Linked DNA regions of Diceros bicornis minor. The protein of the gene in region 2 purifies or fractionates together with the protein of the main gene of each other region. This does not show direct contact. Links are inferred from orthologs where the notes say so. Each region holds a gene or a part of one and is shown on either strand. Other genes may lie near its edges.

The links.
Region 1: the proteins of IKBKB (region 2) and PRKCQ purify together in Homo sapiens (affinity purification with western blotting; 4 studies listed by BioGRID). This does not show direct contact. The link is inferred for Diceros bicornis minor from reciprocal best matches to the Homo sapiens genes IKBKB and PRKCQ.

What each region holds. Positions count from the first base shown.
Region 1 is NC_080775.1:7,746,126-7,762,968, forward strand, and holds the start of PRKCQ (protein kinase C theta type), read right to left. Parts: upstream 6,292-16,843; 5' UTR 6,253-6,291; intron 1-6,252. UniProt on the Homo sapiens protein: Calcium-independent, phospholipid- and diacylglycerol (DAG)-dependent serine/threonine-protein kinase that mediates non-redundant functions in T-cell receptor (TCR) signaling, including T-cells activation, proliferation, differentiation and survival, by mediating activation of multiple transcription factors such as NF-kappa-B, JUN, NFATC1 and NFATC2.
Region 2 is NC_080768.1:39,331,256-39,347,330, reverse strand, and holds the start of IKBKB (inhibitor of nuclear factor kappa-B kinase subunit beta), read right to left. Parts: upstream 7,643-16,075; 5' UTR 7,504-7,642; intron 6,848-7,503; 5' UTR 6,830-6,847; coding exon 6,725-6,829; intron 1-6,724.

The DNA.
Region 1 (16,843 bases), on a different chromosome or scaffold from region 2:
AAGCTCCAGGGCAAGAAAGAGTGGCCGTCACCATCTTTGTCAGCTTCAGGCTGAATGTTCCCTGGTCTGTATAATCAATATGATTTCTTTCTAAGTGATCTAGTTTGTAAGAAGCTGATAGAGTATATCTCAAAGCACATATTCTTTCTAACACATGTGGAGTATGGTTATAACACTTTCTCTGAGGAACTGTCTTCCCCAAACAGCCAACCAATGAACAAACTTTGGGAATATAACCCATGAAGGCAGAAAAAGAATTTTAAATTAGGAGCCAAGAGATCAGAGTTCGCTGCTAGTAATTTGCTGTGTGACCCTTGATCAAATTTCTTAACCTCTCCAAGCCTCAATGTCTCCTCCATAAACCGTGAATGATCCACCCAATGCACAGGGCTCTAGGAGTGAATGATCTCATGTGTCCAGGCACTTGGAAACAGTGCATGCTCAACAGATGTCCCTTTCCTTTCCATGTCTCCTTCCTCCCTCCAGCCCTAAGCTTATGTGATTCTATGTAGAATCATGCTCTATGTAGACTTAAAGCAATGGTATAAAAAGCCAAATGCCATTAGTCTATAATTTTCAAACCTTTAGGTATGAAACAGATTTAATATGTCCCAAACTCCATGACACAAAATTTCATGAAATAATTGCTCTTGCAACATGAAATGCATTCTAGTACTTTCTGTTCTATTTCATTTTTAAAGATATGCTTGTCACAACTCAATAAATTAATTTCATAATCCAATGATGGACTGTGTCTTGCAGTTTGAAAAACACTGTGTAAGAGGCTTGTTTGTGCATCATTGAAATAAATACATAAATGGACCACAGAATGGAGAATGTTGAAAGCTGCTATGCTAAAAATGCTAGACAGACTGCTGAGATGACCTTCTTCCAAAATGGCAAGAAGGACATTGCAGTTTACTTTCGTGAAAGACTTGGCTTCTTGCTCACCTTGGCTGTGAAGAGTCATCTCATCTGACCATGAACTCGTAGCCCTTGGTTTGCTTTGGAAACTCACCCCTCCCTTGGCAGCACTCTCCTCACTTTAGCCTCCACTCAGTGGAACAACTCAGATGGTTGGAGAGGGGAAGGAGGATGGGATAGCCAAGGGAGGTAAGGAGTCTGCTCTTTGCACTTGTAACTAAAGAGTAGTTGCAACCACATGCTTTGAGGTGGAAGCCTCTGGGCTCACTCTGCTCTATTCCACTCACCGGCTATATTCAAACCGAGCGTTCCTTTCCTTCGCTAGGACATCATGCTCAAATGCTGCTAGGCCATTCTACAAATGCTGTTCCACCTTCTGGAATGTCTTCACCTGGCTCACTGCTACCTACCCTTCAGGTCCCACTGGGCCATCTGGGACATATTCTCAGACACTCCAAGTCTAGGTGCTCCTGTAGCACCGTGTATGTCCCTAGTATAGCACCTATACCTTCATTCTGCACTTATTCACTGAGGGCCTGCTGTGTACCAGGCGGGGATAGCTGGCCCTCATGGAGTTTACATTCTAGAGGAGAAAAAAGACAAAGTAAACAAACAAATACGTAGTATAACCGCACACTGTAATATTATAAACTGACATATAACAATATAAACACACGATGAGACCAGCACACTTCACTGTGATTCCCTATTTGCTTGGCTGCGTCTCCGCCGCGGGTTACACCGCGCAGTGCGTGGCTCTGCGGCTCCCAACAAAAGCCTGCTGGATTCAAGCATGGCCACCCCCCTTTTGGTTTTCTCCATTGTCCTGGGGATTTGTCTTGTTTTGATCTCATACAAGAGATAATTCAGCCTTTAACCTCCCGCAAGTGGTCTATTCCACACATTTAGACTTATTAATACTAACATCATCTTTACTTTATTCTTGACAACTATTTGTTTCCAAATCACCACGCCCTTCATGTAGGTAGAGGCAACTCTACCTAGAGGGACATTTGGTTTATCTTTTAGAAACCTTCCTGTCCATGGTTTCCCTAGTCCTTCAGGGGATGCTTGAGTAGTAGTTCCTCCAATGATTCTGCACTAGAGAAAGGTACATAAGCACAAGGCGAGGTAGGAAAAAACGATGAATTCAGAAGGAGCATCAGCCCACAGACCCCTGACATCAGTCATCAAATGATTTCGTAAAAAGTTAACTGGTTATCACCTTACATCCATTAGGATGGCCACTATCAAAAAACAGAAAATAACAAGTGTTGGTGAGGATGTGGAGAAACTGAAACCCTTGTGCACTGTTGGTAGGAATGTAAAATGGTGTGGTTGCCATGGAAAACAGTATGGTGGTCCCTCAAAAAGTTAAACATATAATTACCATTTAATCCAGCAATTCCACCTCTGGGTATATAACCAAAAGAATTTAAAGCAGAGACTTGAAGAGATACATGTACACCTATGTTCATAGCAGCATTATTCGTAAATCCATGGACATGGACACATGTCCATGGACAGATGAATGGATAAACAAAATGGGATATAAACCTACAATGGAATATTAGTCAACCTTAAAAAGGAAGGAAATTCTGACACATGCAACAACATAGATGAACCTGAAGGAGATTATGCTAAGTGAGACAGCAAGTCACAAAAAGACAAATACTGTATGATTCCATGTAGGTGAGGTACCTAGACTAGTCAAATTCATAGAGACAGAAAGCAGAACGGAGGTTGTCACGGGCTGGAGGTGGGGAGTGGGGAGTTAGTGTTTAATGAGAGAGTTTCAGTTTTACAAGATGAAAAGAGTTCTGGAGATGCATGGAGGTGATGGTTGCACAACAATGTGTATGTCCTTAACGCCACTGAACTGTACATTTAAAAATGATTAAGATGGTAAATTTTATGTTACATGTATTTTACTACAATTTAAAAAAATTTTAATTCATAGGTTGTCCAGCTTTGCGGTTTATGGCAACTGCTTGATGCTCAGGCAAACCTGACTCTACTGCTATAAGAGCTGGGCAAGTGACTTAACCTCTCTGAGCTTCAGTTTCCTTATCTGTAAAATGAGGATGAGGATGATGATGATGATGAGGATAATGATAATATCTAATTTATAAAAGCTTTGCAAAGATTAAATAAGGTAGTAATGTTTGTGAAATATAAATAAAATTCTGAGTATAATATCTGGCACATAAATTATAACAAATAATGCATCAATAAAACCATGCTTTATTACTTTTGTTGGCTCGATTATTATTATCATCGATATTATTAGCTTAAATCAAAAGTTAACATCAACCTATAGTGACCTGTAGAAGTATGTGTTGCCAAAGTGAGTGTCTTTAAAATATCTGCTAATTATATCTCAAGGCAGAAATCTATGATTCTGGGCTTAGAGTGAGCTATTCCTAATTTCTGAAACCTCTGATTCTCATTTTGCCCCAAGGATATTTTTAGATGACACAGCTATGTGAATTTGTATATAAACACTTGACACGTTAATGTAAGATGTTTCCCTTATTGCAAGAAAACATCTTTTCACTCACCTTTTGCCTCACCATCATGTTTTTCTATGAGTTTCTCATGATTGCTGCCTCAACAGCCAGAATACGTATGAAAAAGCAAAGCTAGATGCATTGCTGCTTGAAAATGAGATAAAGTTTTAAAACAATGGACAGAAACAGAAAGAATGAATTTAACGCTACGTACGTCACCACAAGACTAATTTCCCTACGTTTAATGACAGATTTGATTTGGGGCAATAAAACTATATAAATATGGAATCACGTGATGCATTTGTGTTCTCTGGTATTTTTCATCATATAATAATTTTTTTATTTTACATGATTTGGGGAAATTACCTGAAAAAAAAATGAAAGATCGAACCCTGTAAAAAGGAAGTCACTTGAAATCAAATATACCCTTATTAACAAACAGTCACATTAGATTAAAATATCAGCAATATTTTCAGGGGCAGACAACATAAGCAGTAACTCCAAAACATGAAATGCATTAAAAACAGCAAGTACTAACTCTAATTCCTATTCTAAGGGAAGGCAAATGTACTAACATTAAATACTGTATTATAAGGAGATTTGTGGAGCACTACTCCTGCATGCCACTCACAGATTTGTACCATAAGCCCTTACTCTCGAAAGAAAATCCCAGATCCAGCCTACAGGGAATTTTCAATAAAACATCAAATTCATTGTACGGAAGCATTTTTTCTTTTCCACAGAACAGAATGGAATGAAGAACCTTGATAGAAATGACCAAAGACAAATGGGATATTCAGGGGAGCCTACAGTACCTGTTAGGAACACGAGAAATCAAGTATTGGTGTTAAAAGGCATCTTTGAAATTAAAAGAAGGACCAAGGTGTGAATAATGGAACAGTATCCCTGCCTACGAGAAAGAGAAGTGGGACATCAGCTAAAGAACCCTCAGTTCCAGTAGTTGACCCATGTATGTTCAAAGCAGACTCAATAAAGGAGTTTCTCTCCTAGGGAGGTGGACTTGGTAGGAAAACGAACGAAGAAGTTTGCCCAAGAGCCGCTTGCCATCCCGAGCCACCATAGCACAAGACAGTGGCGGAAGTGAACATGACAAAGCGGAGGGTGGTGACGAGAGTCCTCCTTGGAAGTTTACATTTTAAAAGTTTACAAGAAAATCACAGGAGGCTAAAACAAAGGCGGGTGATGCCGAGCAGGTTACTCTTGAAATCAGAGATAAAAGTTGGTGAAAGGAAAAAACACACACAAAAAAACAAAACCAAACAAAACAACTTAATTTAGACTCATTTGCTAACTTAGAGGAGTTTCGCAGCTGAGGCGTTGAATGTTTTAGAAGCTCTTCCTATGCTGCATCTTTAAATAAATGAATGTTCCAGTCAGCAGAAGAAAGAGAGAACAAGATCATTCTGTGGCAGACACCTGCATCAGACAAGAGCCCTGGGCTCCTCTGAGGCAGTTTAAACAGCTGTGCATAAACTTCAAAAGTAATTTGCAACCAAATTAGTAAATGTCACCCTTCTTCCCACTAGACACAGCATTTTTAAAAGATACTAAGCATAAGCAGTAAGCCTGCCACTTTATGAGAGTTACCCAAGATAAGTTAGAGAAAAAATGAAGATGGTGATTCACAAAGTCAGGGTGTGCGGTGGGAGTGGGGGGCACGCAGGACCTTACAAATAGGATTTGTCTGTATTCAAACATCTTCGTCCAGGAAAGGACCGGTGGTGGTCACAGCTTCTAGAGGACAATGCAAGGGGATAAATAACGGAGTGGAGCTGCCAGACTTGTGTTCAGAAAGCCCACCCGGCACCTGCGGACCCGCGCACTACCTACGGTGGTTCATTGTCATCAGTGACAGGGAGAGAGCAGCGAGTCCTCATTCTTCTCTCCATGTCACCACCCCCCTCCCTGTCAGCTCGTGCCATTACTGAATCATCTTTTATTAGCACCACTCTGAGCAGGGTGTCTCCCAAGGACAAGGCAGCTCAGTGGCACTATCCTTGCAGAAATGACCAGAATCTCCCAGCGCAGTCAGCCTTTGGTTCTCTCTTCATTCATGCCCATGCGGAGTGCCCAAGCCTTTAGCACCAACAGTTTCTTTCACATTGATAATTGGGGTTCTCAAAAATCCAATAAAATAAAGATATTTAACTCTACTTTCTTAATATGTGGCCCTCAGAGCTGATAATCTCAGTCAAGGTTACAGGATTGAGCGCCGGACTTTTTTTTTTTTTTTTTTTTTTTTTGGTATTTATCAGACCCGCGCCAGCCTACCCCAGGCCCTGGAGAAGACACTTGGTTTGTTTAGAAGTGTGAGTGTTGGCAGCCCTGTCCGCTGTTCTAGCAAATTCCAAGAAAACAAGTTATTCTCCTCTGTGGACAGGTTGCCATCGCATCAAACATCTCTATTTACAAAGGTTTGCCAAGAATATAAAACTTGCCGCCGCCTTCTTCCCTCTCTCTCTTCCCCATTAGTTCAGGTGAGAGTAAAAAAAAAAATCAAAAACAAAAACAAAAATCGAGAAGGAAGGAGGAGGCGCCTCCGGCCCCAGACCCGGTGGCCACCCCACGACCAAGGTCCGCAGCATCCTGCGCAACCCGCACACAAGAACCCACGGGAAGCAAATGACCAGAAGTTTGCTGCGCTCGAGTGTCTTTTCGATTTCGCTCTCATCCTGCTCCCCTCTTCCTGGAACACCTCAAAGCCGGAGCTGGGTGGGCCTCGCCCCGCTAGGCCGCGATCTTGGCCCCGCGCAGACCCCCTTCCCTTCCCGGGCCGGCGACGCGCGGAGGGACGTACCTGCAGGGTGGGCTGCCGGTCCGGGCGCGCGGCTGCTCGGCGCTGGCGCGGGCACTGGCGGGGCCGGCGCAGGGCTGCGCCCGCGGGCGGCGCCGGCCAGGGGGCGCTCGTCACCCTGCGCCCCGATCGCCCGAGCGGGCTCCCCGGACGCCGCCCAGGAACCCGCAGCCCGCGCGCACCGCGGTGCCGAGCGCCTCCTCTCCGCCTCTGTGCCCGCCCCTCGCCTCCAGCCTCGCTCCTTCCTGGCGATTCGCGCTCCGCTGCGCTACAACCAGGAGAAGATGAGGATGGGGTACCCTGGGGTGACGATGCTGAAGGAGGGCCCACAAGGGGCGCCTGGCATTAGCCACATGCTGAGCGCAAGGAAAAGGAAGCATGAGACCGCCTGATTCTACATCTAACCAAACTGAAAACCCAAAACGATCCTTCCAGTGGGAAGGATCAGGGTCAATCGGTAAAAAACGTTCCGTCTGTTCTGTCTGTTTTTACACCTGAAAGTACTTGTGAACATTGCTCTTTTAAAATTACCTGCCTGAGAAGTCGGTGCAGTTCTGTCCGGTGGATAATCTTCTCTGGTTGTGTCCTACTTATGATGTTGATTTTCTGTTTCTGCACAACTGTCTTTATAATTTATATATAGTTTCCAGAGGTGCACACTTTAAACTTGAACGCCCTTGAAGCTGCAATGTAATGCTACAGAGCATTGTCATTGGAAGATTTTTACGCAGTGCTATTGGTATTAATGATCGTCGTGAACCAGGATCATTGGGGTGGTTCTTGCTGTACTCCATAGAATTAATTTTTCATTCAGGTTAGTAAAACTATATGCCTGGTTACCAATACTATGATAGAGCTGTTCCCTTTCCATTATGACATTAAATGGTTAACATGCACTTGGTTAAGTCTTTTGTGGCTATAACATAGTAAGACGGAATTAGTCTGAGAAATAAAGCAATAATCTCTTTTTTTTGAGAGAGAGATTAAAGTCTATGAAAGAGCCAAACCTCCGATTTGTAGGCTTCTGATCATGGAAGTACAGTGTTAGCTGAAAAGGACCTCAGTCTACAGCTAGTTTTTAATTTAAAGATGAAAAACTGAGGCCCAGAAGTGTTTGATATGATGACTCTTTCCCCTCATCTATAAGAACTCAGCAAAGCAAACACACACTGCTTTTAAGGACAAAAAATATGTTCCATGAAAATTAGCCCCTCTCTCCCATTTGTTAATGTCTAACAGCATTGGATGGACCCTCAGGCCAGGATCATCCAACAGAGAGGCTGCCACCTCTTGGAAGATTCTAGCCAGGAGGTGTGAGGGTGGACAGAACCTCAGATGCGCCGGCTCACCAAGACATCACCAGAGCCTGGCACTCAGTAGGCACTCACTACTTGAGAAAGAGATTAAGTACATATAGGGGCTCAAGGGAAATTCACATGTCCTTTTAATTTAGTCAATAGTCAGTGGCTTTAACAAAGGTTTCAAAAATGACGATGATGATGATGATGATGATCGTGTCTTGGGGCAGGCATTATGATCAACACTTTCAATGCAATATTCATTTAATCCTCATAACAATCTTAGGAGGTAGATATTATATCCTCATCTCTATTTTGGAGATGAGAATAATGAGATTTAGAAGGATTATGCAGCTTGCCCAAGTTCCCACCGTTAGTAAATTACCAGACCAGGATTCAAACTCAGGCCAGTCTGAAGCAGCCTGCTCCAGCACTATTGAATACTGCCTCCGTTCTAGAACCATTCCCTCCGTTCTCTGCTTCTCTCTTCTGGACAGCCGGTCTCTGGAGACTCACACAACCATGCTATTCTATAACCATGTAGTCCTACAGTTGGAAACCCATTCATTTGAAGACTGGATCTTTTAAAACAATATTCATCATATGTCTAGAAATGGGATTTTTTTTGTTTATTTTGAATCTCATCTAAAAGAAAATAATCCAAATTTGTTCTTGATGTGTGCTAGACGTTCAAGATACCTCTGGGTCTTTTGACTCCAGCATGCTGTGCTGCCAGCCTTCTCTTTCCTCGGGCTACAAGGCATTTCTGTTTCATAGTAGACATTCTCTCGTTGTTTTATCAACATGGCTGCTGCTCAGAAGTCCTCCACACCTTTGTTTCCTGGAAGAGGAAATGGCATTTCCTGGAGGGGACTACGTGTGGGTGGTGAGGTTCCACTCACTACGTTACACACACTCGAACTTTCAGTTTTGTACTTCTTTTCCTCCTTCAGGTTTTGCCCTAAAGTTTCCTGGAATCGTGCTGAACTCAGACTGTGGGCAGCCGCTTCAGTTCACTTCAGCCAGGAAAGATGTGATTCCTACTTTGGATCCAGAGCTAAGAAATAAACGACTCCCATGAGTCTTGTCCCTGGAGATACTGCAATCCATCTTCCTTCAGCCTGAGATTTGCAAAAGGGAGCCTGAGACGACACTTTGCTTTCATTTTGGATCTAGTTGACAATTATGCTCTGTCTCTGAAAGAGACCACTTCTTGCGCCCTTCTGTGAGGTTAACATTCCATGAAGGATTTAGGAAAGAAATTAAAAAGAAAATGTCCTTAGGAGCCCCAATTTGGAGAAAGATGGTATTTGGGGAGAAGTAGGATATGACAAACACAGACAATTTGAGCACAGGATTATGTAACAAGGACGCCTCTGTCTGCAGAAAATCAGCACTCAGAGGAAACCAGGTTGGGCTATTTCATGAGGAATTTGGCTACCCAGCTATCCACTTTTTCTAAAGGCTGGCAGACATAGTTTTTAAAGTGGTCCTCCTGAATCCTCAGAAGAATCAGCATGGAATATCAGAAGACAATGATCTACCCTAACCAAAGACTTGAAAAACATGCCGAGTCTAGCATCAATTTATTCAGAAAATGTCAAAATTATTCTAGGAGCTGTGGGTCAGAGTGACAGAGGCACAGACAAAAATACAGGTATTTTAAATTCACAGCTTGGACAAGGGAAAGAGAATTTTTTTTCCTCTTCACTTCAACTTCGTGTTGTCAAGTGGGAAGAAAAGATAATTAGAAGTTAGAAATTGTTATTGTGAGAAAGAGCTCTAAACCTGAAGCAAAAATTGGCAGTCTCCTTGGGGAGTAAATAAACCTTGATTCCTGCTGGTAATAAGATTGATATCAACTCTTCCAGACCCTGAGAGGGAAGGTGAATGCTGAGGGAAAAAAGGGACAGTGTTCATAACGTGATATTTGTGAAAGTTCTGTTGTTTTTGTAATGCTTAGTAATGTTAAGCTAATTTTAAAATTTTAGACAAGGTAGGTGGGGAGGTAGGTACAAAGTCTTCCTTTAAGAAAGAGGTGATGAGTGAACCTAATACTAGCTAATATTTGTTGTGCATTTACGACGTGTATCAGGGCCTGGTGTTAAACACTTTATTTCCATCATTTCATTTGATTCTTACAACGAATCCCATGAGATGAGTAATGTCCTCTTCATTTTACAGATGGCTGAGTCCTAGCAGTCAAACAGGTGACTTGCCAGGCTCATCGAGCCAATTGGTGGTGGCGGTTGTGGCTTGACTCCCAGTCTGTTACCCTCAAATCCCTGATTTTTGCATCAAACAGAAACAAGACAAGAAGTGAAATTATAGCCTGACTCTTGAAGCAGTAAAAGAATTGTGTATGTTTGTGGATGTCCCGGTGAATAAGGTATTCTAAGAAGAAAAATGTTAACACATGTATGCATGGGCAATTTGTAAATTAGGGTGTATAAAATGCCCACTTAATAATACAACCATGGAAAACAAAATTTAATCTTTAATGATGCATAACATTTAGAGTAGATCATTTTTTTCCTGAGCATGAATTATTATTACATTATAAAAGAATGAAATTGAGCATGAAAGTGTTCCTTTTATTTTATTTTTTTAAAAAGGTAGGGGAGTTATGCAAACACAATATTGTCTTGTTTTGGTCGTGCCTTCTGAAATCCTAAAGGCCTGATTTTTTTAAGTCATCACTGCCAATAAAGAGACTAATTATAAGTATCTGAATCAGTGAATAAGATATGCAATGTTGTTTTAACATAGATGCAAGATAACACAATAAACTTCTGGCGTGTTTGTAAGTTCTAAGGGTAGACTCAGGATGGGGGGAAGGTCTGATATTTCTAAGGACTACAGATACAGTTCTGGATTGAGTGAGTCGAGATATCAGCATAGTGAGTGTGGCCCAAATGAATACAAATTTTTGTCTGAAATTAAAGAGATATTGATTAGATAGAATAATCTATACAGCCCACTTTTTAGTGATTCTCTTTCAGCAGCAGAAAAGCAACAGCAGCCTGAAAGTCGGAAAGCTTGTACAGCTTGATGAGAATTCCTCCCCAGGAAAGTTTGATAAATCTGAGAATTAATCTGTGAATCCAGGAGGAAGAAATCAAGAAATCAAGCCTTCTGTCATATTTATAAATTTGATTATTGCAATTCTACAATTTGACATAGTACAATTGCCCTTGGATTTGAAAATCTATCAATGAAAGCATATGACTTTAGCCTAAACCATTTTGTCTCTCAATCTCATTTTTAACAAGGCACATACCACAGTTGCCCCCATCACGCCCTTCTCCTTCAGTCCATACCCCTCAAATGCGTACTGTATATGGTTTATTCTGCCATTCACACACACACATACAAACACACACACATATGGAGGGAGGGGATTTTTCATTTTACAAAAGTACGTTGGACTACATGGAATATTCTATCAGGTTTCTTCCAGCTATAAAATTCTGAGAATAAGTGGACATTGAGAGTATTACGCTAAGTGAAATAAGTCAGAGGGAGAATGTCAAATACTGTATGATTTCACTCATAAGTAGAAGATAAAAACAACAACAAACAATCACATAGAGACAGAGATTGGATTGGTGGTTACCAGAGGGGAAGGGAGGACGGAGGAGGGAGAAAGGGATGATTAGGCACATGTGTGTGGTGATGGATTGTAATTAGTATGTGGTTGGTGAACATGATGTAATCTATGCAGAAATAGAAGTATAATGATGTACACCTGAAATTTATACAATGTTATCAACCAATGTTACCGCAATAAAAATATAAATAAAAAAATTAAAAACAAACAAAAAAAACTTCTGAGAATGTCAATTAAAAGAAAGTTCTAGTTGTCAGTGATGGGGAATGTAACAAAATTTGCTTCTGGTCGTAGTCATTGTTAATTTAACATATTCACTGGTATAAAAAATTTTTATTACTGTCAAGGAAGTCATGCACTGATGGCCCAAGAAAACACTGAACATCATTATGCTCTTCTTTGTGTACAGTTTTCCTGTCTACACCGTAGTTTCAATCATTCACTTTCAAGTAAAATTCTTGTGGAACAAAAACCTAAGGAATTTCTTTTTTTCTCAGTGGTTAGAACATGGCCTACAGAGGCTGAGTTGACCATATTTGGCTGTTGTGTGAGTCAGTTCGACGCGCTCTGCTTCATGGTCTCGCCAACCCAACCCTCTCACCCTTGAAAGGTTTGTTTTTAGCCCCCAAATGGCAACCCTTGACACCGGTTGTTTTTTTAAACTTGCATTGACTCATATGTTGTAAGTAGATTCGAGCAGATGTTTTCTTCTTCTTTGTTTTCTTTCTTTCTGCTTATCACTAGGCAGAGTCAGCAAACAAAAGAAGTAAAGCTCTACATTTGAGATTCAGCATATAATTCAGAGAGCAGATGTTCAATAGTTAAGTAATCATCTAGCTTATATTTGTACTTAAAACAACCTTAAAATAATGAAAAATAAATTAATCTTTTTACACCTCATGCTAGAGCTTGATGGAGATGTTATGCTCAAAAATCGAAGATATGTGGTATCTGTTCGAAATTGGAAGATATATTTATTTTTCTAAATAGATTATAAATGTCATGCATTATTTCACAAATCCTTTCCTCTACATGTTTGTATTAAAATTAATAAAAGGGAGATATTCATATTACATCCTGCCAATTTCATAGCGAAGACTGAGTAGGTAAGGGCTCTCATGTGCTTTGATCTCTATAAACCTTAGGAAGAGGATGCTGTACGTTGAATGATCAGCTGCCCTGTATAGCCCATTTGTAGTGGTATGTTACTTATAGGATCTTATTTACCCTCGTAATAATCCTATAACATAGGTGGTGTTATTCACACTTTACAGATGAGAACACTGAGGCTCAGAGAGGATAAATAATTTATCCAAGATCACATAGCAAGTGAACGCAAGATCCAGAATCACAACCAAGATGGTGCTCATTCAGACCTATGCTGAAGTGTCTAGAGAATTCTGGCCACCAACTACGGAGGCTAACAGTAGGGATCATATTCTGCATGCAGGTTTTGAAAAATAAGGCTTATTATTTTTCCTATGATAAAAGTTATGCATTCACTTGCATGCACACACTCACATACACACACATCTAGAAATTAGAAAAAAGGAAAAAAGAAAAAGATTACCCATAATTCCACAATCCAAAGACAATTAACATTTTGGTGTATTTCTTTACATTCTTTTATCTACGCATAATTTTTGGAATTATTTTACTTTAGAAATAACTTTTTCTGGTTGCTTGATGATAAAGTAATGAAGATTCATCATAGAACATTTCAAAAATATAAAAATGTTTATAAAAGAAAATTGAAATCTCTTAGAATCTCAAAATATAAAGATAACTGTTCTGGTATCTTATCCTAGTCGTGGCTGAGGGCATGGATCTTGACACTGTAGCTAAAACTATCTACATCGTACAATTTGTAGCTGACAGTTCATAGCACATTTTTTAATAGTTTGATTTTCACTTGATTTGTTGATGTTTTTATTTTTCAAAGAATGACAAATATGATTTTTAGGCAGATGTTTAGAATGCTCTGGGTGCTCAAATAGGCCTAGCTACTTTGCTTTTTACTAAAGGACGAAAATTACTCCCACACAAAAAAATACCTTAAAGAATGAATAATGATACTGTTTGTCTGCCCTTATAACTCCACAGAATGGCTTTATTTTTTTTCTTCAAATGTAACTCATTTTAAGCAGTTTCCGCTGCGCAGGGAAAGAAACCCAACCAGCTCCCTGTTTACTCACTGGATTGTGCACTTTTAACTAGAGGAAAAGGCTTTTGGTCAGGCTAAAGCAACTGATACTGAAGAATAAGTTCGAGTGTTACGTAGATTTGAGGGGGCTGCAGAAATGTGGATTAAATTTTAATCACACTAAGAATGTTTCTCTCTAAGCAAACGACAAGAAAACTGTTGCTTGAGAACCTTTATGTCATGTGACCTGACCTGCCAAGGGAACTTAAAACGACTTAGAAACTTAAGATCTTAAAAGGCTTCTGGGTGACACAGCAAGGTGCAGCATATTCGAGCCACCACAGCTCTATTACCAAGCTGCCACTTTTCCTAGGAATGTAGTGAGAACCCAAGCTAAAGAAACCAAACAATAAATCAACTGAAAGTCTTTAAACATAGGTCCCTGAGGGTATTATGGCCTTTTGCATATTCCACAGAGTGTCAAAGCACTAAGAAGAATTAAAAAAAACAAAACTATTGCACTTGTGTTATTTCCCCAAACCTCTCTACGTTTACTTACTTTTTGCAGGTTCACACTTTCTCTTTTCCTTGCCATTTCATCTGGATAGAATGGAGACCTCTTCCGCGGTCCTAAACTTAAATTCTTCCTTTTATTTCTTAGCTAAGAAAGAAAATTCCAGAAATACCATGATCTACTTTGTAACTCCCTGGACATAGTGAGTCCATTATGTACATTATGGGGAGGATGTGGAGAAAGTGGAATTCTCATGCAAATTAGTACAACCTTGGGAAACTGGCAGTATTTGCTAAAGCTGAGCATATGCATGCCCTGTGACCCAAGCATTCCGTGAGTACATAACTCACAGAAATGTGTACATATACATGCACTAAAAGGCGAGTAAACGTATTCATCACAGCGCTGTTCACAATCCCCCCATGATGGAAACAGCCCAAGCGTCTATTACCCGTAGAATGCATCAACACATTGTGGTACGTCAACCAATGGATAGGACGCAGCAATGAAAATGAACTACTGCTGCAGTATGAACACTTCTCACAATCATAGTGCTGAGTGAATGATGTTGGGTCTAAATGAACACCGACTATATGATTTCATTTACGTAAAGCTCAAAAATGGGTACAACGAATGCACGCTATGAAAAGTCAGGATAGTGGATGCTACATTTGGGGAGGCAGGTGGCATAGTGTCTGGGAAAGGACCTCAGAGTGGCTTATGCTGCACTGGTGGTATTTTATCACTTGACGTAGGAGGTGGTTACATAATCATGTTCACTTTGAAGTAATCCATTGAGCTGTGCATTTGTGGCTTGTGTACTTTTCTGTCTGCGTCAACCCCAATAAAATGGTTATTTGAAAATGGAATGTAGTATTATCATGTTTGTAAAGCCCTTTCTGTATAGCCAGAAACAGGGTTGGTTTCCCAGGTAATGGAGAGTTCATTAGGAGTATAGTGAGTACAATGTGGCAGATATGGTAATTCTCTCCCTCTGTCTCTCCACGTCTCTGTCTCTCTGTGTCTGTCTCTCTCTATTCCTCTCTGTGTCTGTCTCTCTGTCTCTCTGTGTCTGTCTCCCTCTATTTCTCTCTGTCTCTCTTGTGCTATTATTCAGCATGCCAACAAGTTAAGCTTAATGACAGTGTGACCTCAAACAAGTCAATACTGTCTGAGTCCTTTTTCTTATTTGATGAGTGGAGGAGTTAGACAAGATGGTGTCTCCAGGACTTTGGACCCCCACGGCCATGATTCTAGGCTCCTCCTCCTCCTCTTTGAGGCTTCTCTTTCTCTCAACCTCTCTCTTTCTGAAATCCTGACACACACCCTGCCACTCCTACCCTGAGCGGCAGTCCACTGACATCTCCTCCGCCATGGATTTGTGCTTGCGTTCCTCTTTGTGTGCCTCCGCTGGGTCCCTAGCATCATGCCTTGTACAGAGTAGATAATACAAAGTATTTGTTCTTTAAAGGCAAAAATTTGGTGAAGAAAACCTTGAATTCCACATTCTAGTCAGTGGGTAAATACTGCAAAAGTTTTAAAAAATAGAATATTTCCCAACTTGAGCAAAAGTCAGTTCATGCCCATTTCTAAATGGAATCCAATAAAGACTGCACAAAGTACCAATGGGGGTAGTTATGACCCTCTCTACATTGCTTTTTTGGAGGTAGCATGTCGATAAGATTAAAGTATCGTGAAGTAACTGCTATAAAATATAAATAAAGGCAATAAAGAATCATCTGGAAGAATTTTACTTGAGGTAATTAAAGATAAGCTTTTAATGATGGAGATCCTGAGTATTGATAAAGAATATTAAAAAGGAGGGCTGGATATGAGAATTTGTCTGCTTTTCTTCCAAATCGTTCAACTGTCTTTAATTGTATTTCTTTACTTAAGGAGCTGAAAATGTTATTTCAAAAGATATGTCGCTAAACTGCAGAAGGATAAGCCTCTATTAGCTTGATATAAATATCCATTGGAAACATCCACTTTCCTTTTTTTTTTTTTTTTTTTTTTGGTGAGGAAGATCAGCCCTGAGCTAACATCCATGCCAATCCTCCTCTTTTTGCTGAGGAAGACCGGCTCTGAGCTAACGTCTATTGCCAATCCTCCTCCTTTTTTTTTTACCCCCCAAAGCCCCAGGGGATAGTTGTATGTCATAGTTGCACATCCTTCTAGTGGCTGTATGTGGGATGCGGCCTCAGCATGGCCGCAGAAGCGGTGCGTCGGTGCGCCCGGGATCCGAACCCGGCCACCAGTAGCAGAGCGCGCACTTTAACCGCTAAGCCACGGGGCCGGCCCTCCACTTTCCTTTATTATCATTTTTCAAATATTTCTTTGCTTACAAAGAATTGATGGGACCTGTGCTTTAGTCTCCTGGGTGATTGGAACTCTACTGGTTATCTTGTGAGGCAGACCCTCCCTGATGGATGGTGCACATTTTTTCATCGGGTACAGATTTCCCAGATAAAATTCCGTTTCTGAAACTGCCAAATCCAGGATCAGACGCTAGAACAGAAGTCTTTCAAGGAGCAGCCGCCCCGAGAGGCCAGCTGGGCGGAGAGCAGAGAGGGGTGTGTTATGAGAAAGTGAACTGAACAGAAGGAAGGTCCATGTGGTCCAGGTTCAGATGGATGGCAAGCTCATGGCTGACCAACTCGCCCATGGCCTTCACCCATCACATAAACCTGAGAGTGCGAGGGTGCATTCTATTACAGAGGGTTGGCATCCGTTCATACTGTGGTGCCGGGGGTGCTTCTGGGATGGCTGAGGAAGTCAGAGAAATGGAGGGAATTTTCAAGCTATGAATTTAGAAAAGTGTAAATGTTAACTTTTTTGGTTTCTGACTTGTAGCCTTAAAGAAGCACTGCTATCTTCTTCTTTGTCTTCAACAGCAGCTAAATCCTGATGATACAAGTCTCTCTATGACATTTAAGGTTCCTGCTCACATAGTAGGTGCTCAGTACACTTTATAACACTTCTCTGCTTCCCTTTACCTACCTCACAGGTAAGAACTAGTTTAAATAAAA
Region 2 (16,075 bases):
GTCTTTTGCTTAAAACAAACATTGGACCTAACACATATCTGTCACGTGGCCCAACCCAGAATCCAGGAATAAATTTTGATATTGAAGATTAAAGACTGAAGATTTGATATTGGCTTCAGTATCCAAACTCAGACTAAAGAGGGAGCTTAGCAATAGCAGCACTGAACATGTCGTGGAATAAGTGGGCAGAGACCAAAGCTGACTTTCTATTTGTGGAGAACTCAGCTCAGTCCTACGGTTGCAGGGGAAATCCTAACTTCCTAGGCCTGGAAATGTCTTACAGATACAGACACACAAACTTTCTTACACAGTGGCCCTCTAGGAAGTATTCTAAAACATGCCAGTTTTTCCACGAGTAATGTTTCATTTGAAAAAGAAACCCAAACAATGACTTTCTATTGCTAAAAACATACCTGCTCTAGAAAGCAAAATTCAATTAAACAGTACAGAAACAGACAACGAATATGGTTTTGAAACCCTGGGGAGTTTGTTCTTCACCAGCAATGAAACTCAAAGAGCAGTGGATGCCTTTCTTTATTTGGCCTGGAACCTCCTAGAGTCTCAGCTCAGTTCTGTGGAAACCTACACTTGGCCAGAACTATCTCAATACCCAAGTTCTAGTAAGTGGACTCCTTTTGTGGGACAAAACTTAAAATTGGTTTGTATTTTGAGAAAATGGAGAAAGGGGCCAACAGTATCATCTACACTGAATGCAGTTGATTATGAAGGTCCTTAGAGTCTCTGCGGTTCTTTGCCTTTTGTAGGCGAAAACACAAAACCTGTGTATAAATGTGAGTGTATTATAAAGTGTAGAGGGGGGTGGGAGACACATCTTCAGACTGCTAAGAGCTACCAACAGGTGCTACAGCAGAAGTGAGCTGGAAGGCCAGTCTATGAAGAAGCTGGCCCAGATTCCCAAAGTCAGCCTTCTTTTAACTACTAAGGGAAACTCACAGGAAGGCAAGAGGTACATTCAAAGCCTTAGCTCAGAAAGCTGGCTCTTGTTATCACGGCAACCACCCACCAGGCCCTTGTGGTATAAGGGGGCAACTGATAATAACCTCCTCCTTCCTTCTCAGGCCCTGCCCTCCAAGATGAATGTTTCAGAAAGGAGTGGCAAAGCTGGGCCCAAAGAGATCCTAGGGACAGAACCCAGGCCTGAGAGTCAAAAGATCCAGGGTCTGGCTGTAGCTTTGCCCCTGACTCAACAGCGTTGACCAGTCTATGCTGAGAGGGCTCTGACCTCAAGGCACTCCCTCAACGGACACACTCAACGGACACAGTGGCCTCCAAACTCACCCACAGGGGCTCAGGGGCGAAGTAGGTCCCAGTGTAACTCCCTCATCCTTCACTTGGTAAATGTGTGACACTGGGCCCATTCCTTAGCTTCTGGGTCATTAGCCATAAGATGGAGATGACTCTACCCCTCCCAGTGCTGTCAGTTTAAACGAGATGGAGTGTCTGATACAGAGTGAGCCTTGAGTAAATTACAGTAGTATCATTTCCTTTCTCTGGCTCTAGGTAGATGCTGCTCTATACATTTGAATTGCCTTCTCTTCTCCTGACTACCTACAGTCTTCCTGCTTTCAAGATTCTGATTAAGTTCCATTTCCTCAAGAAGCCTTCTACCACCTCTGAGCATTCAGGAGACAATATGGATAGAGCACCCAGCACAAGCGGCACAGGACACTCTTGATAAATAGTAGCCATCATTATGGCCACACAATTTAGTGCTTATATTTAGACTTATTTGATATGTTCCTAAGTCTCCCTTTTACCTCCTTGATTAGAGCACAGGCACATTAAGGACACATCATCTCTTCTTCCCTGATGGATCCCTGATGGAGCTTAGGCCAGCACTCAATAAATTCTCAGTGAACTGACTGACTAAAGTCTTTAAGACTTCAAAACACACAGATAAGCTGAAGTGAACTTATTCCTGTCCAGTGAGGGTACAAGTAAAGTCAGTACTACTTCCTAGAAGGGATAATTAACAATACCTTACCTTTTCCATCTTTGTAACAGCCAGTGCTTACATCACCTCATTTCATCCTCACACGTATCCTTTAGGATCCAAGGCAGCACTTTCCAGCCTCTTTCACATCAAAGTGCACAGAGAATATGATATTTGCAAGGCACCTGGGATGCTTCCAGATGCTTCCAGAGAGCAGCCGCCCCATGTCCAGCCCAGGCATGCTTAGAACCAAGGGGATCAATATCTTAGCATCCTCCAAATCCACGTGGCAGGTTGTGGCCCAAAGCCACGAAGCTGGCAATAACAGCCAGAATTTGAACCCAGGTCCGTGTGATTGAGAGCTATGTGTTTTTTCCCCATTAGTCCCAAAAGGTGCTGCAGGCTGAGGTCACTCAGGTCATCTCCTTTTCTTCTTCCTTTGTATTTAACAAAGACCTTATTGAAAATACCAACCTATCTAGACTCGACTGATCCTTGGGCTGAAGATTTAAGGGAGTGCCAACATAGCAAGGATGGTCAAGGCCCATGCTTGCTAAGAGAACCAAAAAACTCAGGAAACGGGTGGGTCATTTGTTACCCTGCCCTTCTTCACTGGGAAATATTTATTTTGGAGTTCTTGTTTAACAAGGAAGACTTATATATTTGTCCTCCAAAGGAAAGTTTTCCCCTTAGTGCTTCAAAATAGTTTAGACAGACTGCGGAGTCCTGAGAATGTTCTAGGGGCAACCCTAACCTTGGATTCCACACAATGGAGAAGTCACAAGCCACAGTGGAGAAAGCGTGAGGTTGAGGTTGGGATGCGGATAGATGTAGGTTCAGATTCCAGCTCCCTCACTTACTAGCTTAGCATCTTGGGGTTAACCTCTCTGAGCTTCAGTTTCTTCAGCTATAAAATGGGAGTAAAGACATTACTTCCTTTTAGGGTCAGTGTGCTGACCACCCCATCCCAGCTGCCTTCTTCAGAGGCTTTGAACAGACGGGTATCCATCAGAGGACACACTGCTCATGTTCTGATCCTGAACGTCAATTAAAGAACCTCCCCTAAGCACCCCAAGCAGCCCTAGGGATTTCTCCAACAGAGGAACACCCCAAGAGGATGCTGGAGAGCTGCCTGGACGGAGCCAGGCTCAGCAAGCGTGCACTCGGCATCTGTGAGCACTCGACTCCTGCCTCTCCCTCAGCCCCTCCACTTTCTGTTCCACCACTAAGGCCTATCAGTTTTACCCCTAAAACAGCTCTTACATCTGCCCACTCTCTCCATCTGCACCACCATCAGCCTGTCCAATCTCTCACCTGGACTACCCCAAAAGCCTCATAATCGGTCTCCTCTGATGACAGGGCAGTCGTGGTGTCCTAGTACCAGCCTCTGAGAGCTGACTTAAATATTCAGGAATTCGGTGAGAACTGGTTGTGAAACTGTCAGTGGCTTGAAATGAGCCATGATGGGAGTAGTTACCTGTGGAAACTGGTAAACATTACCCAACAGGGCGTTTTTTCCGAGAGCTGATTTCCCAGCACACCACTGCCTGGGCCCCTTCCAATCTGTCCCCACAGTCAGAGTGGACCTCCCTTCAACAGCTTCCCGTTGCTCTTTGGATGAAAACAAAACCTCCTCAGCAGGGTCTGACTCTTGCCTTCTACACTCCCACCTCCCTTGCACCCGGCTCCCCCTGGCCTTTCATCCCCCCACACGGGGCTCTGAACAGGCTGCCCCTCCGCCTGGAACTCTCTTCCCACCTTCTCTGCACGGCTAACTTCTACCAATCCCTCAGGTCTCTGCTCAAGAGCCACCTCCTTGGGGAAGCCTTCCCTGACCCCCGACTGATGCTGCCCCCGGTATAGGGTCTCACTGCACTGGGCCCCTCTCTCATGTCCCACTCAGCATGGTTGGGAGTCTACAGGTGTAATTACTGATTAATGGCTTTTTCGTTTCCAAAAAGGTCTTTATCAAAATCATTTTGATAAATGATTTTGTGCACCTAACACATGTATCACATAAAGATAGTTGCTATGGGAAAATTGAAAGAAACCCCAAGCCAGACAGCCCTGGCTGACCAGGAACTTAGAGCCTTGACAAGATACACTCCTACCCACACACAAAAAGGCAGTACATGAGGCACGGCAAACGAGGGGAGCTGAAGGAATTCAATGGAAGACTAATGCCCACGGAATGAAGGAGTCCATGACGGGTTTACAGAGGAGGTGGTCTACAGCCGCTCCTGGAGGAACGGGCAGAATTTACATAAAGCTGTTCAGGAGACAGAGGCTTGTCCCAGAGAGGGCTCAACCGACCAACCTGTTGGGAGCCAACAAGGGAAGGTAATGCTAGAAAGACAGGGTGATGGGCCGGCCCCGTGGCTTGGCGGTTAAGCGCACGCGCTCCGCTGCTGGCGGCCCGGGTTCGGATCCTGGGCGCGCACCGACGCACTGCTTCTCCGGCCATGCTGAGGCCGCGTCCCACATACAGCAACTAGAAGGCTGTGCAACTATGACATACAACTATCTACTGGGGCTTTGGGGGAAAAAATAAATAAATAAAATTAAAAAAAAAAAAAGAAAGACAGGGTGAGGCCAGGCTGTGGAGGGGCCTCAAGTGGCAGAATGAGGAATTTGGCTTTTGGCTTTTTAAAAATAAAGAACAAATGAAAGTTTTTGAATAGAGGAAGGAACTTGAAAGTAGTAATTTAGAAGACTAATACATACATACACACACACACTCTCTCTCTCTCTCTCTCAGGCTCATATCTATAAAGCCAGAAACACATTTCATCTGACAACAGCTTTCCAAGCCCAGAGAGCAAATGGAGGTCATTTTGACTTAAAGATGACAGATACGTGGCGCATTCGGACAGAACTCTTTTCAAAGGAAACCGAGACGTCTCTAGCGCGGCTGCAGCAAGATATCTGCTATAGTCAAGACTCTAAAAACCCTGGCCTATTCAGAAACAGTCCAGCCCAGGTATATGTAGGGCTGTAGAATGATCTGGCTGCTCTGTTAAAATGCTAGGCTCCCAACTATACTCTGACTAGAACAAGTTTGAGCCAGTTTTGTTTCTTAGGCCCCCTCAGCCACGGGGTTTGCTGGAAGCCTAGCTTCCCATTTGGGTGTGAGAATTACCGCCTGCAGAACTGTACTCTGCCCTCCAGCTCTGGCTCCCTATTTCTCTAGGGGTCATTCGATCTGCTCAGAGCTGGCAGCACTCAAGGCAGGGCCTAGAATGTCTTCCCACTAAATGATGACGGTGGATGGATGGCTGACTGGAATGACCCTCAACATGGCTGATCAGTAGCCTCAATGACCCTCCGCGATTGCTGCAGCCAGGCTCCTGGGAAGCAGCGTGTGATCTGCCATCCCTTCAGTCCAAAAGGTGCTCAGCCGCCCTTGGTTAAAAAGCAGGCACCTTCCTTCAAGGACTTCAGTGGGTCTGAAGTTTGGGTCAGGAAGCTACTATTACGTATTTGGTGAGTGAGGGTTCCCCAGAGCAGTGGTCTCCAAATTGGGTGTATGCACCCCAGGGGTTACCCAAGACTGGGATCCAAGAAAATAAAAAGAAATTAAGCTTTTCTGATACTAACTGTATGGCACCCTCCTCATATCATTCGTCAGAAGGTCATGTGCCAGTTCTGGTACTCGAGGTATCCTGAGGAAAATGGGCGTTCCACTGGCAGGGGGTGGACAGGGGCCTATGGGGACGCGATGCGGATTACATGTGCCCCACTGAGGTAGAGCTACGGATTGTATTATGCAATTTTAATAAAAGAACACTCATAAAATGGATGAGTGGCTTAAAGAGATTTCCTGCAGAGAGTTTCAGTACGTGTAACACCTGCACAAACAGGAATATGGAAGAAGTGACACTTCTAGTGTGAGAAACTCATGTCAGACACATAAGGAATAAAAACAACGAGGAACTAACCAGATCTAAAAAGAAATTGGTCCAAATAATTCAAAATTATAAAAATTATTTGAAATACAGATTTTCATCCACAATCCTTAACGATAATTCTCACTTTCACGTAGATCAGAATATTTTGTGCTGTGAAGTATTGTAAACAATACTGGGAAGACATTATAATTGGTAAATATTTAAAATATTTTTAAAATTAATTTTTAAAACAGTTAAAAAATTTTATTATTCTCATCCTTTAAATTTTTATTTTTGTGTTTTTTGTTTTGTTTTGTTTTGTTTTTGCTGAGGAAGTTTGGCCCTGAGCTAACATCCGTCGCCAATGCTCCTCTTTTTGCGTGAGGAAGATGCACCCTGAGCTAACATCTGTTGCAAATCTTCCTCTATTTTGTATGTGGGCCGCTGCCACAGCATGGCCACTGACCAGCAGTGTAGGTCCGTGCCTGGGAACCGATCCAGGGCCGCTGAAGTGTAGCATACCAAACTTTATAGCATGTAATAGATTAGTACACAATAGATTAGCACATGATAGTCTAATATTAGGACAGATATATAACTTAAAATATATATAATTGAGGCTGAAAGCTTAAATTTTTTTACTATTTATTTAGGTGGCATAGTCAATAAAGCGCAGAGACCACTAACCCAGAGCCAGCTTAGCAGCCCTGAAGCCCTCTTCCCAGTCTCCCTCTCTCACTCCTTCCCAAGAAGCCCATGGCCAAAGGTGAGCCCCATTGACCCATCCAGCACCACGTGGGGTAGAGGCAGCGAGAGGGGGCCTGTGTTCCCCACCCCCAAACCCTGCCGACCCTGGCCCTTCCCAGCTGCACAGAGCCCCTACCTGATTGTGCCATCGGATGACGTTTCCAAATCCCCCTGTCCCAAGCCGCTCTTTCATTTCCCAGGCCCCACATGTCTGGGTTGGCAGGGAGGGTGACCAGCTCATACTGATGCGGTGCTAACTCTGTAAGCAATTCGGGGTGGGGACAAAAGGTTAAGGTTGAGACAAAATGCAACTCTGGGAGACAGGGACGGGGAAGGTGAGAGAGACCACTGCCCTTCAATGTGAGAGAAGAACCTGAGCTGATTTTCGTTTTGTAAATAAACCAGTTTCTCTGTTTGGGTTTTTGGTTTTGGGGGCAAACTTTTGTCTTGCTCATCGTCCTCCACCCCCACCTCAGCGGCTGTGGAAGCACGGAGGGAGGAAAGCCACCCAAAGGAGATGACGGCCCACAGCCCAGGACCTCGGCGGGGGAGCCCAGCCTGGACTCCAGCCAGCGGCGCGAGCCCCGCGGCACGCCGCCCGAGGTGCAGGGAGAGCCGTGAGCGTCCCCGCGGTCACGTGTCTTCACACAGTCCCAGTGAATCAGGGCTCTCTCCCAAAGCCACCCACCTCGAAGCCGCCCCCTGGAACCACCTGGCCAGGGCTGTCCCGGGCCCCCGACTCCAACCCGACGAGAGGATCGCTTCCACGCCCGGAACCCCACCCCCCCCCGACTTTCAAACTCCACACAAGTTTCTTCAGGAGCCTCAAGTGAGGAGGGAGGTGCGAGCCCGCCGAGGCAGAGGCGACGCGGGGTCTGCAGGTGGCACCAGGACCGCGCCGCCCGAGGGACTCACCTGTCGGCGGGGCCGCGGGGCGGGGGAGCGGCTGCCCGGGGCGGGGGAGGCAGGGGCTGGGCGGCACCACTGGGGTCTCGGGCACCACCCCGAAGACATTAAAATGCGGGAATCTTAAACCTGCCAGCGGAGCGCGACTTCCTCAAACACTTCCTGCTCTGACGTCAAGAGGCACGTGGGCCGGCCGGCCCTTAAAGGGGCCGCGGGGGGAGGGGGGGAAGGTGGGGGGTCAGGCGACGCCCCGTGCCCGCGCCAGCCGGCCGCGCCCGGCGACCCCCGCCCAGGTGATCCCGGGAGGGTGTGCGGCTTCTAGACAACTCCTGTCGAAGTTGGTCAGGCTGTGCTCCCTGAGATAAAAGAGCAGTCCTAAGCTGAGCCCTAATATGCCCGAGTCCCCTTTAGACAAATGACTTCAACCTGAGCGCTTTCTGGGACAGGGGAGACGGGGATTTCCTCACCCCAGCCCTCCTGGGGTGAACTTGACACCGCTTCCTAGACTTTTAACTCGGTGGAATTTCCCGCGCCCCCGCTGGGATTGATTTGGGGACTATTTACAAGAAGTGTCGTTGGCCTCCTGTCCTCCTGCTGCGCTCCCCTTGTCTGGAGGCTTTTTGGCTCCGTGTCAAGAATGATAAATCAAAGCTGTACTCCTTAGAAGTGACAGCCCCTTCTCCCCCCTTGAAAAAATAAAGAAAAGGGGGGGAAAATCTAGTAGTGTGACACTAAAGCACGTTTTCAGCCCCAGTGATGTAGGGAAATTGTGGCAGAGGCTCTCAGGCCTGAGATGAATCTTTCCTCTCCCATCTACCTGGCATTGTAATAAAGTTTCTATTGAGTTTCTCTCTATGGTGTTATATTAGCAGACTAAGGAGTTGTGTGTGTGTTAGTATATTTACGCTAGCAGGACAACAAGTATTAAAGGAAACCTGAAGATAAGAGCTCACACGTATAGAGTGCTTACTGACTGCCAGGCGCTACCTAAACTCTGTACTTAGGTGTCCTCATTCCATCCTCAAGGCAACCCCACAAACTGGACAATACTGCATTATTATTATCCCCATTTTACAGATGAGAAAACTGAAGCATAGAGAGGAAAAGTGTTTATCCCAAAGTCACAGGCTGGTAAGTAGATGATCTGATATTCAAACCCAAGCAGCTGGTTCTTGGGCCCATGCTATTAACGTGTGGTTAAAGCAGCATTCTAAGAAGTTCAGGAGGCAAACTGGATGCTGAATCCAGACTGCTATTGATTACCTCTGAGACTTTAAGGCCAGTTACTTAACCACTCCAAGCGTCTGCTTCTCTCCTCTAAAATGTAGGCAGGATTAGGTTGAATGGCATGAAATTGTCATTTTTTTATAAAGCAAAAACAGTCGAAACGCCAGCAACAAAGATCAGCAGTTTTCATCTGGTTCAGCCTCAGAGCAGCAGGAGGACAGGAGGGCACGCAAGCCAGAGAACAGAGGCGCCAGCGGGGTCGTTGTGCAGGACAGATGAGGTAATGGCTAGAGCCATGCTTGACACAGAGGATGCTCCTGCCTGAACAGAGCCCCGGGCTGAGGCCAACATATGTCAACCCAAATAGATGGGTCCTCCATGCCTGCGGCTACCCTAGGCACTTTGCGCTCCTCGGTATTTCTCGATTTACCCTATTGTCACTGCCGAGTAAGCACACTCAGCCACAAAGCAGGAAGAGAAAGGAAGAAGAGTAAATAGTTGTAAAGCATGTAGAATGGTGCCTGACATACTCTAAGTGCAATGTAAGTGTTTGTTTAATAAATACATCTTACAAATAAAACATATTTATTGAGCACCTGTGTGATTTGGGCCCCATGCAGAGTCTATTTCCTGTAGGACATCATGAAAGGTTTCTCTTTAATCCTGTCACCTCTGAAAATCACTGTCCCTGAGAAACTTAGCAAGACATCCACAACGGTTTGCTCTGCACCGCTATAATTTGAGTTCTCACTTGCTCAGCTCAAAATAGTTTGGTTTTCAACTGAACATAAACTTCTCTGATAAGGTCATATATTACTAGATTTTTTTTTTTTTTTAATTAGTGATGGCTCAGGAAGGAGCCTCTGGGTTTTATCATGTCCCAAGATATTTATCATCTTAAGCCTCGTTTTCCCCCCAGATAAGACATGTCCACTGCCTACATCTGGTCTCTATCCTGCTCTAGAGACATGAACAAACTGTTTGCAAAGAGTATTTTCAAATGCAGCAGAAAAATATTCCATTTTCTTCCTGCTCTGAGGCTGAGTCTGCTATTTAGCAGTGACTACAGGGTAATCAAGAAATACTGAGCAGCCTAAGTGCCTAGCACAGCCCTGAGCACGGCTGACCCAGGGGAGCCAAGCAATGTAACTCTCGTCAGAGGCGCCTAGAGTCTTCCTGGGGACACAAGGCCCACAGAGAGCCATTATGTAATGAGCAATAAGGACGACTAGGCCATAAAAACAATCCAGTGCTAATTTGTTCTGCTGTGGAGGTAGGACAGTACTAGTGATAAGGACAAAGTTTCTAAGGGGTTTATTTTAAAATAAAATCTTCTTCCCAGGGTAAGACAAAGATAACTGAGTAAGCTCAGTCTTTTCGTATCATCAGTTGAGAAAACTATTCTCTTACCTAATAGCAGCAAGCAAAGCAGCACTGAACTCCTTTGAGTGAGGAGAGGATTGTTATCTGAAAGTCTGGGATCTGAGTCATAGTAAGAGAAACAGCTTAAAAGATAGGAAGGCAACCAGACCGTTTGGGATCGGGAGGATTTCCCAAGCCCCCCGGCCCCCAGAGAGTCAGCTCTGGTCCAGTGATTTCAGCAACTCTTTCATTATCCTTCCAGTTTTATCTCTGCCCTGCAGAGAGGACTGAGCAAGTCAAGACTTGCTCCTTCAACAAACAAAAATTCTTCCACCAGAAAAGCTGGAAAACTTGTTTAGTTTGAAGACATGAAGAAATCCACCTTCTTCTGGGGGAGTTGGTGGGAGATGGGGGTGGGCTGGCAGAGACTGACAGTGAGAATGAGCCCTCTTCAAATTAAAGATGAAGAAGTCGCTAAAGGACAGCTGCCCCCACCTTGGCCGTGGGGGCAGGGAGCTGGTGGATACGGGCTGGTGTATATGTTTCTGTCACAGGCAGGTATGTTTTGTAGCTCACCTTAGTTCTGAGCTGCTCCTTTTGCTCCTTGGGGGCAGAGATTGTGTTCACTGCTGCATTCCCAGTGCCTGGTACATCATAGGTGCTCAACAAAAATTTATTAAATGAGTGAGTGAATTGGCCAGTGCAAAGACTGGTCATGCTGCCCTCTTTGGCATTTGGTTATATGTGGTGTCTGGAGTCTCAGAGACATGGGTTCTAATCCTGGCTCTGCATTTTCTTGGCTTGGGGAACTCAGGCAGTTTACTGAACCTCACTGAGCCTCCGTATTCTCATCTGTAAAATGGGGGCTAATAAAACTTACTCATGGTTGTACAGTGTAAGTGAGATTTTATATATAAAGTGCCTAGTGCATAACCTGGTGCGTATTAAGGCCTCTTTGAATAGCAGTTGTTAACGCCTTGTTTTTGTTTTTTGTGAGGAAGATTAGCCCTGAGCTAACATCTGTTGCCAGTCCTCCTCTTTGTGCTGAGGAAGACCGGCCCTGGGCTAACATCTGTGCCCATCTTCCTCTACTTTATATGGGACGCTGCCACAGCATGGCTTGACAAGCGGTGCGTCCATCTACATCCGGGATCCAAACCTGGGAACATTTGGGCCACCAAAGCAGAGCTGTGCCACCGGGCTGGCCCCAAAGCCATTGTTTTAAATGCAATATTTACTAAGGTGTTTTAAATGCAATATTCCAGAGGTAAGCTGCAATCCCCATTCTTTGTGATTCAAAGGAAATAGGCGCAAAACTTTCCCTCACTTACAGTGAGAGTCCCCATGTCCTTCACATCTCACATCTCTCCAGGAATTTGGTGTAAGAGTGCTGGTGTGTGATGGTGGGTGAGGTGGATGATATGTTTCTTAGTTACCTTGGATTCTCAGCTCCTACTTTTTTTAAGGGTCCAGCTTTTTATTTAACTTGTTTTCAAAGAGATTTAATCAAAAAGACTGAAGCCCAGGGGCTGGCCCAGTGGCGTGGTGGTTAAGTTCGTGCACTCCACTTTGGCGGCCTAGGGTTTGCAGGCCCGGATCCCAGGCATGGACTTCCGCACCACTTATCAGGCCATGCTGTGGCAGGGGTCCCACGTATAAAATAGAGGAAGATGGGCAGATGTTATCTCAGGGCCAATCTTCCTTGGCAAAAAGAGGAGGATTGGCAACAGATGTTAGCTCAGGGCTAGTCCTCCTCACCAAAAAAAAAAAGACTGAAGCCCATGGCATCATGGGACTCCTCAGATTCCTCTTTCTTTGCTCCCACTCTTTTTCTTCCACAGGGACAGCAGCAGTAGGGGGTGGGATGGGGGCAGGACCTCCTGCTGGGGCAGGGCCACCAGCTGCTACGTTGCAGAAGAGGCTCCTGGTATTGACATCGGCCAGCGTCCTTGCCAACAAGCCTGGCCAGAAAGGCTCAGCATTTACACCAGCTACTTTAAAGAGGACATTGATCTTGTCCTCTTTGACTGTCACTGCATTGTTGTATGGGATGTGGGCTGAGTAGTGTCTGGGAGGAAGACATTTCCCGTCTACCCTTCTTGTGTTCTTACGGCTGGACTAGTAATAAAATTGACATAAGACCAAATTAACAGGAAAAAAACCAATTTAATTCATGTGTACTGGAGATCATAGATAAATGATGCTTGGAGAGTGAACAAAGCAGGCAGAAAGATATCTTTTTATATAAAGAAATAATAAATTTGTGAGGAATGACAGGACAAAGAAACTTAGGTTTGAGGTATGTAATTAGTGAGGAATTTAAATAGAGTTTAGGCTTGAGTTAGTAAATTAACAAGGTTTGTTTATGCTGACTTCTCGGCCCGGCATTCCCTAGCTCTGGTGATAAGGATGGAGGGAGAGCACTTTTTCCATAGGAGATTGATTTCCTGCTTTCAGGGGGGACAGAGACAGGAGGGTCAGAATGTCCTTTTTGCTTCTCAAGTGACATTAATTCAAAATAATCAATATGTCATTGTGGGATACTTTGGGGTGGCCTGCCCTGGGCCCCAACAGTTGATGCAGGTGAGCTCAGAGACTGAGGCCCTGGTGCTGGCGTGTGGCAGGCTGGCAGCTGCCCAGCACGGTGCTAGTCGCCCAATGAAGTGAGAGCCTCACCCCAACGTGGCCTTTGCTTCCTCAGAAGGACCGAGTACCTTAGGGGCAGCTTTGGAAAGTGGGCTTTCACTAATTTCAATACATGTTAGTCTGTTTATTGCCTGCCTCCTCCACTGCTCCTATTCTCTGCCCCACCCTCCACACATCACCTGGTGCTGGCCACAATGTAAAATAATAATAACAACAGCAAACATTTATGGCTGCACAGCAGGTACCCTATAATTATTTCTGTATTGGGGGGGTCTGATCACTTTATGGGTCATTTTGGAATCCTGGGCTCGTGGACCCTGTTCTTTGCCCAGGCATGGAGGTTAGCCCTTTTCCTGAAATTCATCCAAATAGTCTTTCACAGAAAGATTTGGTATTTCACAGACTTCATCAAAGGTTTGGAGAGATGGAAGGATTCACATCACAGCGCCACAGGTGTTTCAAAATTAAGCATCAGACAACTTCTGTTCAGAAGTTCCCATTTCTACTACCGGGCCCTAGCCCCCACTCTCCCCTGCCCTCTCCTGCTCAGCTCCTCAAGCCTCCTGCCCCTGGACAAGGAACCAGATCCCTCCCCATTTCTAATGCAGGGCAGCTAGCTCTCCTCACCACAACCCCAGCCTCAGGCAGAACCCGAGCAGGCGCTGGCAGCCAGGGACTCAGGTGGCCAGCACAGCTGTCTAACTTCCATTCGGAGGCCCCCTGCCTCAGGCGCGGCCCAAACCCACTCACCAGCTCACAAGCTGCTGCTTCTCAGGCTGACGTGACTTATTCCAGATCCTCTGTGACCCCTTCTGGGTGAGTGACCAAAATCCTGGGCTAAACAGGGGCCATCTACACTGTGTAATTTCTTTCTCTGTCCCTGCCCAGCCACCACCCTCTGTAAGAAACGCGACCTGTGGTGATCTGATGTGAATTATGCATCCTCTTAGAAGACAGAAACACTGACAGACTGTTTTGGTCCTATGTGACATTGTCTTCCTCTCTGCTGCTGCCACTACTAACTGCCCATCTGAGTCACTTCGCACTGGGCGAATGGGTGGGTTTTTGAAGTGGGCAAAAAATGGCAGGACCAGGAGGGATGATTCTTAGGGGGAAAAAACTGTAGACCTCTACTCATTTTATTACCAGAGGATGTAAGATAATTTAAATACATAGGTAATCTCTCTACTTCATTTTGGTCATTTTAAAATATCAGGTTTATAGAGGAATAATTTACATACAATAAAATTTACAAGTTTAAGTGTACAATTTAATGTTATTTTACAACTGCATATAGCCTAGTAGCTATTGTGAGAATCACCCTATAGAATATTTCCATCACCCCAAAATGTTCCCTCATGCCCCCTTGCTGTCAACCCCCTCCCCTACCTCCTGACCCCCAGCCCCTGGCAACCACTGATCTACAGTCATAGTTTTGCTTTTTGGCCCATTTTGATTATCTTTGTAGCCACCATTTTGAGAGAACTGCTGAGGTGTGGCTGGACCGCTGGGTTGGGCTGGATTTCTCATCGGAGGAGTCAGAGGCCAGAGATGACCAAACCACTTACCCGACTGGGAAGGGCCGGGGTCAGCGGCTGCAGAGTAACGCCGGGCTGAGCTAGCTGAGGCGGGAGGGACTGCTGCTCTCGGAGCCTGCAGCGGCCGTGCCAAGAATGAGGAACAGAGAGAAAAGCGGAGAGCCAGTGTACTGTTCAGAGGAAGGAGGGGGGAAAAGGCCCCACAGACAGCTGAGGTGGGAACCTTAATTCAAGGCCTAGGTGTGTTGCAATTCAACTATCAGACCCAAATCCATCCGGAGCCTGGGCTGCTCTCAGCACTTCCTCTTGTCCCACCTACCTGTCCAGTCCCAGCATCTCCTTGCAGCAGAAGGCTGCGGGCCACTCTCAGGGCTGCCAGATCACCAAATAGGTAGAGTGGATCTTGGTCTCCAGGTCACCTCCCTTCCCACCTTAGGGCCTGGGGGCTCTATCTGGGCGCATCACCTAGCTCCTCTCTCCCCTGGGCCTCTGTCTCCAAGTTCATGCCCTTTTCTATGAGTGGGACCCCTTGTAGGGGCTTTTGAATTTTAGTTGGAAGAAGGAAAGGAAGGAAATTAACATATGTTGAACATTTTTTACCCCAGGGAAGGAAAAATTCAAACAGCAAGAAAGATACAAAATGAAAAGTAAAAAATTCTCTCTCCAGGTTTTGATTGCTAGTCTGTCCCCCAAAAGCCAACATTGTCAAACATTTCTTGTATCTCCTTTGTAGGAAGGAAGAGAAACTATTGTTTTAAAGAAACATAACATGTGCATGGCTCTGCACCTTCCCATTATCACTGCATAACCCTTCTTAGAGCTCTTTCAATGCCAGCGTATACATTAATTTTGATATAATTTCAAACTTATAGAACATTTGCAAGAATAATAGAACGAACTCCTGTACACCCATGACCCAGATTCACCAATTATTTACATTTCACTCCTTTTACTTTATCATTTTCTCTGGATCTATCTATCCATCTACATATTATTTTTTCTGAACCATTTTGGAGTACATTAGAGACATTGTACCCCACACCCCTAATTACCTGTGTCTATTTGCTAAGAATAGGACTTTCTTTTACATAATCACAGTTCAATTATTAGAACCAGATATAACACTGAAATAAAACTATTACTTGATTCACAGTCAATAATTCTGTCAGTTGTTCCAGTAATATCCTTTATAGCTGCTTTCCCCCAGTCCAGGATCCATCCAGGATCACATATTGCATTTAATTTTAATTGTCTTATCTTTTTAGTCTACTTTAACCTGGAAAAATTCTTCAGCCTTTCTTTGTCTTCCTTGACCTTAACATTTTTAAAGAGCACACGCCAGTTGTCTTGTAGAGTGTACCTCAATATGGGTTTGTCTGGTGTGATGTTGTATCTTTCTCAGTGCACCCTCTCAGGACACACATGTCATTTTATCCCACCCATTACTGGTGAGGTTAACTTTGATCACTTGCTTAAGGTGACATCTGCCAGGTTTCTCCACTTGTAAAGTTACTATTTTCCCTTTGTAGTTAAGGTGATTTGTGTAAATACCCATTCCTCATCAAAGTTTCATCCACTTGTTTCAACATCCATTGATGATTTTCTAACTCTATCATTCCTTCTAGTTTGTATTCTACTGTAAAGAAGAGCTTTCCCATCTCCACCATTTATTTATTTATATGAATATAAACTCTTAGATTCTTATTTTATTCAATGAGTTATAATCCAATGCTATTATTTCTATTTATTTTCATGCTCAAATTGTCCCAGATGGCCAGTGAAAGCCACTTCATGCTGGCTCCCGGATC